Linked DNA regions of Callithrix jacchus. The protein of the gene in region 1 purifies or fractionates together with the protein of each later gene. This does not show direct contact. Links are inferred from orthologs where the notes say so. Each region holds a gene or a part of one and is shown in the gene's direction. Other genes may lie near its edges. The genes, in order: NPLOC4, FAF2 and ASPSCR1.

The links.
Region 2: the proteins of NPLOC4 (region 1) and FAF2 purify together in Homo sapiens (affinity purification with mass spectrometry; 3 studies listed by BioGRID and IntAct, with this or other methods). This does not show direct contact. The link is inferred for Callithrix jacchus from reciprocal best matches to the Homo sapiens genes NPLOC4 and FAF2.
Region 3: the proteins of NPLOC4 (region 1) and ASPSCR1 purify together in Homo sapiens (affinity purification with mass spectrometry; 3 studies listed by BioGRID and IntAct, with this or other methods). This does not show direct contact. The link is inferred for Callithrix jacchus from reciprocal best matches to the Homo sapiens genes NPLOC4 and ASPSCR1.

The regions. Positions count from the first base shown.
Region 1 is NC_133506.1:137,290,038-137,294,350, reverse strand, and holds the start of NPLOC4 (nuclear protein localization protein 4 homolog), read left to right. Parts: upstream 1-1,412; 5' UTR 1,413-1,589; coding exon 1,590-1,604; intron 1,605-4,313. UniProt on the Homo sapiens protein: The ternary complex containing UFD1, VCP and NPLOC4 binds ubiquitinated proteins and is necessary for the export of misfolded proteins from the ER to the cytoplasm, where they are degraded by the proteasome.
Region 2 is NC_133503.1:69,712,219-69,715,862, reverse strand, and holds part of FAF2 (FAS-associated factor 2), read left to right. Parts: intron 1-2,049; coding exon 2,050-2,221; intron 2,222-3,474; coding exon 3,475-3,618; intron 3,619-3,644. UniProt on the Homo sapiens protein: Plays an important role in endoplasmic reticulum-associated degradation (ERAD) that mediates ubiquitin-dependent degradation of misfolded endoplasmic reticulum proteins.
Region 3 is NC_133506.1:137,613,735-137,617,378, forward strand, and holds part of ASPSCR1 (tether containing UBX domain for GLUT4), read left to right. Parts: intron 1-848; coding exon 849-988; intron 989-1,258; coding exon 1,259-1,340; intron 1,341-2,037; coding exon 2,038-2,104; intron 2,105-2,732; coding exon 2,733-2,795; intron 2,796-3,288; coding exon 3,289-3,358; intron 3,359-3,644. UniProt on the Homo sapiens protein: Tethering protein that sequesters GLUT4-containing vesicles in the cytoplasm in the absence of insulin. Modulates the amount of GLUT4 that is available at the cell surface. Enhances VCP methylation catalyzed by VCPKMT.

The DNA.
Region 1 (4,313 bases):
CTGTTGCCTGGGCTAGAGTGCAGTGGCATGATCTTGGCTCACCGCAGCCTTGACCTCCTGATCTCAGGTGATTCTCTTACCTCACTACCTCAGCTTCCTGAGTAGCTGGGATTATAGGAATGAGCCACTTCACCAAGCTAATTTTTTTTTTCCTTTTTGAGATGGAGACAGTCTTGCTCTGTCACCCAGGCTGGAGAAGGGTGACCCCATCTCCGCTCACGGTGACCTCTGCTTCACAACTTCAAGTGATTCTCCGGCCTCAGACTCCTGAGAATCTGGGAATATAGGCATGCAAGACCACATCCGGGTAATTTTTTTTTTTTTTTTTTTTTTGAGGCGGGGTTTCACTCTTGTTTCCCAGGATGGAGTGCAATGGCGCGATCTCGGTTCACTGCAACCTCCGCCTCCTGGGTTCAGGCAATTCTCCTGCCTCAGCCTCCTGAGTAGCTGGGATTACAGGCAAGAGCCACCATGCCCAGCTAATTTTTTGTATCTTTAGTAGAGACGGGGTTTCACCATGTTGACCTGGATGGTCTCGATCTCTTGACCTCGTGATCCACCCGCCTCGGCCTCCCAAAGTGCTGGGATTACAGGCTTGAGCCACCGCGCCCGGCCTCAATTTTTGTATTTTTATTAGAGATAGGTTTCACCATGTTGGCCAAGCTGGTCTCGAATTCCTGACCTCAGATGATCCACCTGCCTCCGCCTCCCAAAGTGCTGAGATTACAGGCGTGAGCCACCGTGCCTGGCCTAATTTTGTTTCACCATGTTGGCCTGCTGGGTCTTGAACTTCTGGCCCCAGGAAATCTGTCCACTTCAGCTTCCCAAAGTGTTGGGATTACAGCCGTAAGCCACCGCGCCCGGTCTGAAATGTAGTTTTTTTATTCATTTGTTTTTCTCATGTTAAAATTTTTTTATTTTTTCTTTTTTTGTTAATCAATGAGAGCTTCTTATGTTGCTCAGGTTGGCCTTGAACTCATAGCCTCGCCTCCTCAAGCGCCAGGACAACTGGCCAGAGCCACCGCAGCTCCCGTCTCATGTTAAATTTAAAAAAAGACTTAAAAAAAATAACAAAGGTGTGGTCCTCTCCCTGAAATTGTTTCTCTCCTTAGCTGTGCATGGAGGGAAGTTTGGAATGCTATTTCCCCAATTATAATTCGCTGTAATACGCAGCAGTAGCTATTTTTGGGTGAGATTTCGGATGCTTGTCTTTGCCTCCTTTTTGGGCTTTTCTGTACAGCTTGCGTTTCCGAGGACGAGCATTTGTTGTCATCGACGGGGCATTTTTCCAAAATTCGCCTCCTCGCGGTGCCGGGAGGGGAGGCGGGTCCACGGCACCACCCTGCGCATGCGTCCAGTCGTTGCTGGGACCGGAACCTGGTTTCCCGGCCGCGCGCCTAGGGGAGAGTCTTGAGCGAGGCACCAGGACGTCGGCGGCTGGCGGAGCCGGGCGGGCGAAGCTGGAGCGGCGGTTGCGGCGGCGTAGGGAGGCCGGGGCCGGGTCTGAGGCCGCGGCCGGGTCTGCGAGGCCCTTGGGGCAGCAGGCGGCGGCGGCCCGGGACTCGAGCCCGGAGGCAGGAGTGGCCACCATGGCCGAGAGCATCGTGAGTGCGGCAGCCGGGCGGGAGCGGGGACGCCGGGATGAGGCAGCAGATTTGCCGGCCGCGGCCTGCTGGGGAGGCGGGCCTGCCGGCCCCGCGACCGGGTTCCTTTCCCCTTTCTCACCCGGGCTTTCTCAGCAGAGGCTGGGCCCCCCTCGGCGACTTTCACCCCCTCGGCTGCTTCCCGTCCTTGTCCCTTCCCGGCGGACTCGCGACCCCGGTTCCCCGCCCTGGGCAGGGAAAGGCCGAGGCTTTCTGCAGGGAGAATTGACTGTGCCGAAGAGAAACCGCCCTCCTTCCTCACCCGGTTCCCGGCTCCAGGAGACTTCCTGGTCCAGTTCCAGGGACTCCCAGCTAGTCCTGCCCCTCTCAGAGCCAGGGCCACTTCTTACCCCAATCTCCCTCCGATTCTCTTCTACCGCTCTCCCCCTTCCCAGCAAGTGCCTTGTCATGAATCACTGAGGAGAGCAACTGCAGACGGGGACGTTACAGAGCTCCCTCCCCGCCGGTGGAGCTGGGAAAATGAAAACGCAGTAACTTCCCGGCTTTGCTCCTTCTAGGAAGGAAAACTTGACAACTCCTCTTTAAAAGGAATGTCATAAATGAGGTTGATTTAACTTTTTACCTGAAACTGAGAATTGTCAGCCGAGCGCAGTGGCTCACGCCTGTAATCCCAGCACTTTGGGAGGTCGAGGCGGGTGGATCACGTGAGGTCAGGAGTTCGAGACCAGCCTGGCCAACGTGACGAAACTCCGTCTCTACTAAAAGTACAAAAAATTAGCCGGTCGTGGTGCCTGGCGCCTGTAATCCCAGCTCCTTGGGAGGCTGAGGCAGGAGAATCGCTTGAACCTGGGAAGTGGAGGTTGCAGTGAGCCGAGATCGTGCCATTGCACTCCAGCCTGGGCAACAGAGTGAGACTGCATCTCCAAAAAAAGGAAAAACGAATTGTCATCCCTACCAAGGTAAAAAATGTCAGTGAAAAATCAGGGAAAACCAGCCCCTCGTTAACTTGTGAGAAGCTGTTCCCCAAAAGTAAATGTGATGGGGAAAAATTAACTGACTCTTGGACAGAATTTTGGTTAATTTTTTTTTTTTTTTGAGACAGTTTTGCTTTTGTTGACCAGGCTGGAGTGCAGTGGCCCTGTCTCGGCTCACTGCAAACTCCACCTCCCGGGTTCAAGGGATTCTCCTGCCTCAGCCTTCTGAGTAGCCGGGATTACAGGTGCCTGCCACAACGCCCGGCTAATTTTTTTGTATTTATAGTAGAGACTGGGTTTTGCCATGTTGGTCAGGCTTGTCTTGGACTTCTGACCTCTGGTGATCTGCCTCTCTCAGCCTCCCAAAGTGCTGGAACTTACAGGCATGAGCCACTGAGCCCAGCCGAATTTTGATTAGTATTAAGAAAGGTTTGGGATTTCTGGGGGAAGCTGAGCAGTACTGGGTGAGGAGTAATGTTCATGCTGTAGTATTGTGACAGTCTCTGCAGTTTTACCAGGTGTCAAGAATCGGTCTTCAGGCCAGGCGTGATGGCTCACGCCTGTAATTCCAACACTTTGGGAGGCTGAGGTGGGTGGATCACAAGGTCAGGAGTTCGAGACCAGCCTGACTAACATGGTGAAACCCCGTCTCTACTAAGAATACAAAAAATTAGCTGGGTGTTGTGGTGCATTCCTGTAATCCTAGCCTCTTGGGAGGCTGAGGCAGGAGAATTGCTTGAACCTGGCAGGTGGAGGTTGCAGTGAACCGAGATTGCACCATTGCACTCCAGCCTGGGCCACTAAAGTGAACTCCGTCTCCAAAAAAAAAAAAGAAAAAAATGAGCTAAAGACAGATGATAATGCAAGAAATAGAAGCTCTGCAGTGCACTACCAGTCATTGCTGAGAGGAGAAGCTAGGACACCAGCACTTGCAGCATGCTCCTATCAGCCTCCTTCCCGTCTGCAGGTGGTTGGAGCAGGTCTTTGTTTGTTGCAGAGCATGCCATTTCATCCTCCCTATGTGAACAGGGACCTGTACTGTTGGCTAGGCATTATAGCTCACCTTCACAATGGCTTTCATCAGCATAAAAACGAAGTCGTCTTAGGAAGTAATGCTCTTTGTCCCATAGTATTCCAGATCTGCCCCCTTTTTAGGCTTACCATGGGAAAAAAAAATACTTAAAAAAAAAAAATATATATATATATATATATATATAAATAAAATACATACATATTAAATTAGGATGGAGTCAAGCGTGCTGTGTTGGCCAGGCTGATCTTGAATTCTGGGGCTAAAGGGATCCTTCTGCCTTGGCTTCCTGAAGTGCTGGGATTACAGGCATGAGCCACTGTGCCCAACCGAAAATATTTTTTTAAAACCCTGCTAAATTTTACCATTAATGACCATTGTTGTTTTTAACTTTAATCTCTCTCTCTTTTTTTTTTTTTTTTTGAGGCAGGGTCTTACTATGTCACCCATGCTGGAGTACAGTGGAACCATCTTAGCTCACTGTAAACTTGACCTCCCTGGTTCAAGTAATTCTCATGTCTCAATTCCCCAAGTAGCTGAGACCACAGGCGTGTGCCACCATGCCTGGCTAACTTCTGTATTTTTAGTAGAGATGAAGTTTCCTTATGTTACCCAGGCTGGTCTTGAACTTCTCAGCTCAAGTGATCCATCACCTTGTCCTCCCAAAGTATTACAATTACAGATGTGAGCCACTGTGCCTGACCA
Region 2 (3,644 bases), on another chromosome or scaffold:
GGCTTCTTCTCTGCATTGGGCCACTGTTAGCTTTTAGCTTTGCCCATTTATTGTCAAAATATTTACATACTTTGACCTAAATTACTCTATATCAGAAAATGTGTTCTTAGAGATTTTCAGAATAAAGACAAGGGCTGGGTACAGTGGCTAACACCTGAAATCCTAGCATGTTAGGAGGCTGAGGCAGGAGGATTATGTGAACCCAGGAGTTCAAGACCATACTGGGCAGCAAAGTGAGACCCCCATCTCTACAAAAAATAAATTAGCCAGGCATGGTGGTACATGCCTGTAGTCCCAGCTACTTGGGAGCCTGAGGCAGGAGGATTGCTTGAGCCCAAGAGTTCAAGGCAGCAATGAGCCCTGATTGTGCCTCTTCACTCCAGACTGGTGTGAAGGTTCCTGTCTTTAAAAAATAATAATTAATGAATGAATAAACAAAATAAAGACAGGCCTCTATGCCCAAGAATGTATATTATGGCATTTAGAATAGCTGAATATAATATAAAGCACCTAAATGTTAAAAAAAAAAAAAAAAAGGTAGAATGATTATAACTCCTCTCCAATACATAACTTATGTACATTAATCATAAGAAATCCTCAAACCACAAAAAAGCACAAGGAAGAAATATAAAATCACTGATAATCCTACCACCACATTAACATTGTTATATTTCTTTTTAATTTTATACACAACACACACCCTATATACATACAGGTTTTTTTTAGTAAAATTGGGATAACACTTTTTTACAACCCTTCATATAAGAATATATCACAGCCTTTTCCCTCATCATTAAATATTATTCTGCCATATTTTTTTTTAATTACTGTATAACATTCTATTGTCTAAATGCATCATAATTTAACCAGGCCACTCTTGCAGGATTTTTAGATTATTTTCAGTTTGTTGCTATTATAAATAGCATACATGGAGATAATTTGTTTGCAATTTGTGATGGTTTCCTTAAATTAAAATTAAGGTTCGGGGCCGGGCGCGGTGGCTCAAGCCTGTAATCCCAGCACTTCAGGAGGCTGAGGTAGGAAGACTGCTTGAACTCAGGAGTTTGAGGTCATCTTGGGCAACATGGTGAAACCCCATCTCTACAAAAAATATAAAAATTAGCTAGGTATGGTGGCACACACCTGTAAGCTAAGGTGGGAGGATTACTTTAGCCTAGGAGGTTGAGGCTGCAGTGAGTCATGATTGCATCACTGCGCTCTAGCCTGGGCAACAGCAACACCCTGTCCCCAAAAAAAAGGAAAAATGCAAGATCAAAACCCTATAAATAAAGTGCTGTTTTAACTGAATAAAAAAATGTGTAAAAGAGGAAACTTTCTGAGGTAACTGAAATGTTTAGTCTTGAAGTGGTGGTTATGTGGTTACATTTATCAAAATTCATTGAATTGTACATTTAAGATCTGTGCATTTCACTGCATGTAAATTTTATCTTAATTTTTAAAGAAAGTATAAAGCAAGAATGTTTCATCTGTTCAACTATTTTGATTGGCTAAATATTTTGGCTAAGAGAAAACAAAAATTTGTTGGGGAGAAGATAGATATGCCAAATGTTAGTGTTTCATCTTTGATTATTGAGTCTCTGAATAACTCTGAAAACTACATATTTCAGATCTGCTACAATCTGTATGGATATATATATGTGTGTTTTGGTTTTATGAGAGCAGTACAAAAATGCAGTAACCCAAAATGGGGTTGATGTAAAATATGATACTGATGATCCCTTTATAATAACAGTACTGTGTTACGTTTGTTAGAATTAGGGGGAAAGTTTTATTTTAAAAACAGAGAGGAAAGCTTGCTGTCTACTTTTCTGTCAAATTAAACTGAGAAAAAAGGTAGCTTATTCAGATTCTGCCATGCTCTGCTTTTTGAATCCCTTATGGCAGTGTGAAATAGTCATCTGCTAAGAATATCAACATTTTTACACACACACACACACACACACACACACACACACAGAATTTCAATATAAGAAAACAGAACTTTGTGAGAGTGCTGTTTTTCTTCTCTTGCTTTCAATCTGTTCACAGGGAAGAAAGAAACCAGACCCAGGTGCTGAGACAACAGCAAGATGAGGCCTACCTGGCCTCTCTCAGGGCCGACCAGGAGAAAGAAAGAAAGAAACGGGAGGAGCGGGAGCGTAAGCGGCGGAAGGAGGAAGAGGTGCAACAGCAAAAGCTGGCAGAGGAGAGACGGCGGCGGGTAATGGACCTGTGGCTTTGTTCCCTATGGTTCCAAACTGCCAAGACTATGCCATCTTGGTCTTAAATGTGAAAGGAAAGCATTATAGCCACCTTAAACAGACTAAGAGAAAAAAAAAAAGAAAAAACTAGAACATGTTGGGATTATGGGTTAAATTTTTCCTACAATTTAATATTTATTCTTTTTTTTAATAAAAATTTAAAAAAAGACACAGGCTTTGCCATATTGGCCAGGCTGCTCTCGAACTCCTGACCTCACATGATATGCCTGTCTTAGCCTCCCAGAGTGCTAGGACTACAGGTGTGAGCCACCATGCCTGGCCCTAAATAATTCTTAATACTAGTACTAGCTAATTTGGCGTTTTACTCATTGTCTTTTTATTTTTGTTTTGTTGTTTTTGTTCCCTAGCAATCAGACTGAGACATACATTATCTTGTTTGATTATGTATTACCACTTACCTATAACCAGTGTCTTTTAACCATTTCCGTTTTCTTTCTTTTTTTTTGAGACAGAGTTTTGCTCTTGTTGCCCATGCTGGAGTGCAATGGCATGGTCTCGACTCACCGCAACCTCTGCCTCCAAGGTTCAGGTGATTCTCCTGTCTCAGCCTCCCAAGTAGCTGTGCATACGCCACCACATTCAGCTAATTTTGTATTTTTTAGTAGAGATGGGGTTTCTTCATGTTAGTCAGACTGGTCTCGAACTCCTGACCTCAGGTGATTCACCTGCCTTGACCTCCCAAAGTGCTGTGATTACAGACATGAGCCACAAGGCCAGGCCTATTTGTTTTTGTTTTTTTTTTTTTTGTCCTTCTTTATTTTATTTTTTTATTTGGCTCAGGATATTATGTGATACTATGTTTTTTTGTTTCTTTTAAGAGATGGGTCTTACGTGTTGTCCAGGCTGGAGTGCAGTGCCTATTCACTAATGCAATTATAGCACACTACACCCTCAAACTCCTGGGCTCAAGCAGTTCTGCTGTGGCCTCTCAAGTAGCTGGAACTATAGGCGCACACCACGGCACCCTGCTCCCTTTCCCTTTTTTCTCAAATGGTTAAATACCTAGACATAGTCAATAAATAATACATGAGATGCAATAATACTTTGAATTTATGTTGTTTTTGACTGTTCCCAAGAGGGTTTTCTTAGAATACTTAGTCACTAATTTTTCTTCTGACTGCATAAGAAAGCTACATGGTCATTGTATTTATTTCTTGAGCCATACCCTAACCTTTGCTTTGTATCTGTGCAGAATTTACAAGAGGAAAAGGAAAGGAAGTTGGAATGCCTACCCCCTGAACCTTCCCCTGATGACCCTGAAAGTGTCAAGATCATCTTCAAATTACCCAATGATTCTCGAGTAGAGAGACGATTCCACTTTTCACAGTCTCTAACAGTAAGGACCACCTAAGTTCTGTGAAG
Region 3 (3,644 bases), about 320 kb from region 1:
AGGACCGGGAGGGTGTTCCCAGGGCTGTGATGCCATCCCCAGGTGTCCAGAGCTCGAGGAGGTAGGTTCCCCTTCCAAGTCAGGTGGGAACCCAGAGCCCTCCCCAGGCCACACCCACTAGAGACGGCTCTCGGCTGTTCTGTGAAGGAGGATGGGGCAAGGGTGGACAACTCTCGCTGTTCTGTGAGGGAGGACGGGGTGAGTGTGGGCGACTCTCACTGTTTTGTGAGGGAGGACAGGCCCAGTGCGGAGATGTCCCACCTGCACCACCACTGGACTGAATGGGCTGAAATCACTGTCCAGGCCTCTAGCTGCGTGGCCCGGCTTTGTCCATTTCATGGCTGTTGATTGGGGTGACGCTGTCCCTTCCACATCCCAGGGTGGGCAGAGGGAGGGCCCAGCTTGTTCTCTGAGGGCAGGCGTGGATGGAGTCAGCCTGGCCATGGAGCTGTGGCCAGGAGGGCAGTGGGGGCAGCGGGGGCAGCTGGCCTGGGGTTTTTGCCGATGCTCTAATTAGGTGGCTGTGGCCACCCCCCCCTCCCCCCCGCCATGGAGACCCTGACTTGGCCTGAGCCAGACTCCAGGGGCCATGCGTCCTCAGGGATTAGGTCTCAGCGTCAGGGCTGCTGCACTGGCTTGAGGGGGAGGGCCTTCAGCCCTGAACAGGCCCTGAGTGGGTTGGGGGCCCCTAGCTGCTGTGCCTAGCCCTGGCCCTGTGCTGGTCAGGCCCAGGGAGGGAGTGGGCCCAGCTCCCACATCTGTGCGACTGCCTCAGCCGGGGACACCAACAGCCCAGGGCATGGAGGCCCTGCCCGTTATACCTGCCGTCAGCCTCCCTCTGCCTGCAGCCTGTGGACCGGGAGCCAGTGGTGTGCCACCCCGACCTGGAGGAGCGGCTGCAGGCCTGGTCGGCAGAGCTGCCTGACGAGTTCTTCGAGCTGACGGTGGACGATCTGAGAAGACGCTTGGCCCAGCTCAAGAGTGAGCGGTGGGTCCCCCTCGGCACTTCCCAGCTTCTTTGCCCCAGGGTTTGCCCTGTCGGGGGTCCATGCCTCCACTGTCCTCGGGCACCAGGTCCCTGACAGGCTGCCCTTAACAGCACCTCAGAGGGTTGGGGGGCAAAGGGGGTGTCCGCTCTTGGTGTCTCGTGGGGAGAGCAGCCTACTCCTGCCCTGGCAGGTGCAGGTGACAAGCCCAGGCCTGTTGCCGGTGCCCCATGCTGACCAGGAGCCCTGTTCCTTCCCCGCTCTTCCCACAGGAAGCGCCTGGAAGAAGCACCCTTGATGACTAAGGCCTTCAGGGAGGCGCAGATGAAGGAGAAGCTGGAGCGCTACCCAAAGGTCTGCAGACAGGGCTTTGGGGTACAACTGAGGCACAGTTCTGAGGGGGCTCCTGTGGCTCCCACATGGGACCAGGGCCCTCAGTGATGGCACGAGTGCCCGTGGTAGCCAGTTGATCTTCCCCTGCTTACGATTTAGAATAAAACTTTTTTATTTGTTTATTTTGAGATGGAGTCTCACTGTCACCCAGGCTGGAGCGCAGTGGCGAGATCTTGGCTCCTGCAACCTCTGCCTCCCAGGTTTAAGTGATTCTGCTGTCTCAGCCTCTCAAGTAGCTGGGACTACAGGTGCCCACACCTGGCTAATTTTTGTATTTTTAGTAGAGCTGGGATTTCACTGTGTTGATCAGGCTGGTCTTGAACTCCTGATCTCAGGTGATCTCCCCATCTTGGACTCCCAAAGTGCTGGGATTATAGGCATGAGCCACTGTGCCCGGCCAGATGAAACTTTAAACAGCAAATCTGAACACAGGTCAATGTGGTTTTAGGATTTGGGCCGATGTACGCACACGTGGCATTCCGCTGTCTCTGTGCCCAGCCTGCCGAGGGGGAGTCGAGGCTCGGGCCCTGATTTGGGGGGACTGCCGCTGCTTCTGCCTCCCCCAGCCCTGGTATCCGTGGGCCAAGTGGGGAAGCCATGCCCTGGTCCCTGGGTTGGCTTCGGCTGTTCTTCTAACCCCTCCACTTGTCTGGCCTAGGTGGCTCTGAGGGTCCTGTTCCCTGACCGCTACATCCTGCAGGGCTTCTTTCGCCCCAGCGAGACAGGTGGGCAGCACTTCGGGGTGTCCGGAAATGGGGTTGGGGGCCCATGGGGCCCCTCCTGGCTCCTTCCTTCCGTGCCACACACAGGATTGCTGCCGCCTGGCCTGTAGGCTCCAGGGCACCGGGTGGTGTGGGTTGCTGGGGTCCCCTTGGGGCTGCAGAGTGTCAGGCAGGTCCAGGTGCCTAGCCCCAGCTCAGGGAGCCTGTGGTCCTGAGTACTTACGTCCATCACCTACTAAACATGGGTGGGGCTGAGGGGCACCCAGAGGAAGGTACCATAACCCGGGAGGAGGGCAGAGGTGCTGTGACAGTCAGAGGTTCCTCACTGACCTGTACCCCAGACAGCTGGGTGGCAGCAGCCCAGGGTCACGGGACTCCCCCAGGGAAGCACTCAAGCTGGGGTGGTGGCTGGGGTGGGGCTGGCAGCACAGGCTGGCAGTGGGAGTGCCCTCCTGCAGCAGGGCAGGGTCCCAGGTGTGTCCCGCCAAGCACCTGGGGTGCCGTGGAAGGAACAGGGCTGAATTCCCACCCCAGGGGAAAGGCCCTGAGGGTCAGAGCAGTGGCCCAGGTGCTGGGGCAACCTGGGGCTGGCATCGTGGAAGAGCTCTGTGTGTTTCTTTCTCCTCTGCAGTAGGGGACTTGCGAGACTTCGTGAGGAGCCACTTGGGGCACCCTGAGCTGCCATTTTACCTGTGTAAGTTGTTTCTCCTGAGCCCGCTCTTGGCATCTGTGGCCTTGCGCCCAGCTGCCTCCTGCCAGCCATGGTGTCTGTGTGGGGACCTGGGAGGGGTGCAGCAGGGCCCTTCTTCCCAAGCCGGGCAGTGGGAACCAAGCTTCCCACGTTCTGTCCTGGTGCCCTGCTGCCCTCTGGAGCCCTCTTGCACCCCTGGGGCTCAGGCCACTCCTGCTCGAGAGCTATGGGAAGGACGGGTGGATGGGAAGTGGCTGGTCTCCTTTGGAGGACCTCTGGGTGTAAAGAGTTAGGCTGCCCACCCCGAGGGGAGCTGGGCTGCAGAGCTGTGTGGGTGGTGTCCCCTGGAGGTTGGCCTGCACTGCCCAGCGCCTCCAAGCCCCCCGCTGGGGTTTCTGCAGCAGGAGTAGTGTGGGCAAAGGGCGTGAGCCTGAGGGGGAGGCATCACCCCATCTTCAGGCCTGTTGGCCGGGACTCCATCCTTTCTGATACATAGGCACCTTCTGTCCTCAGTCATCACCCCTCCAAAAACAGTCCTGGACAACTACTCGTGCACCCTCTTTCAGGTACCTGAAGGCCCTCCTGGGGTGCTGTGGGGTGGGGCCTCCGGGGAGGAAAGGATGGGAGGGTGAGGCCTGCGGGTGCTGCGGGGCAGGGCCTCTGGGGAGGGCAGGACAGGAGGATGAGGCCCCGAGGTCAGGAAGGAGGGCCCTGGCAGCTGCTGCCCAGTGATAATAAGCCTTTGAGAGCCAGAGGGGGGTGCTCGCCGGCTTTCCAGCTCCTCTACTTCCTGCTAGCCCCAGCCTGCCTGAACTGAGGCTGCTTGGAGGTCTCAGCCCCCTGGGCTGCTCA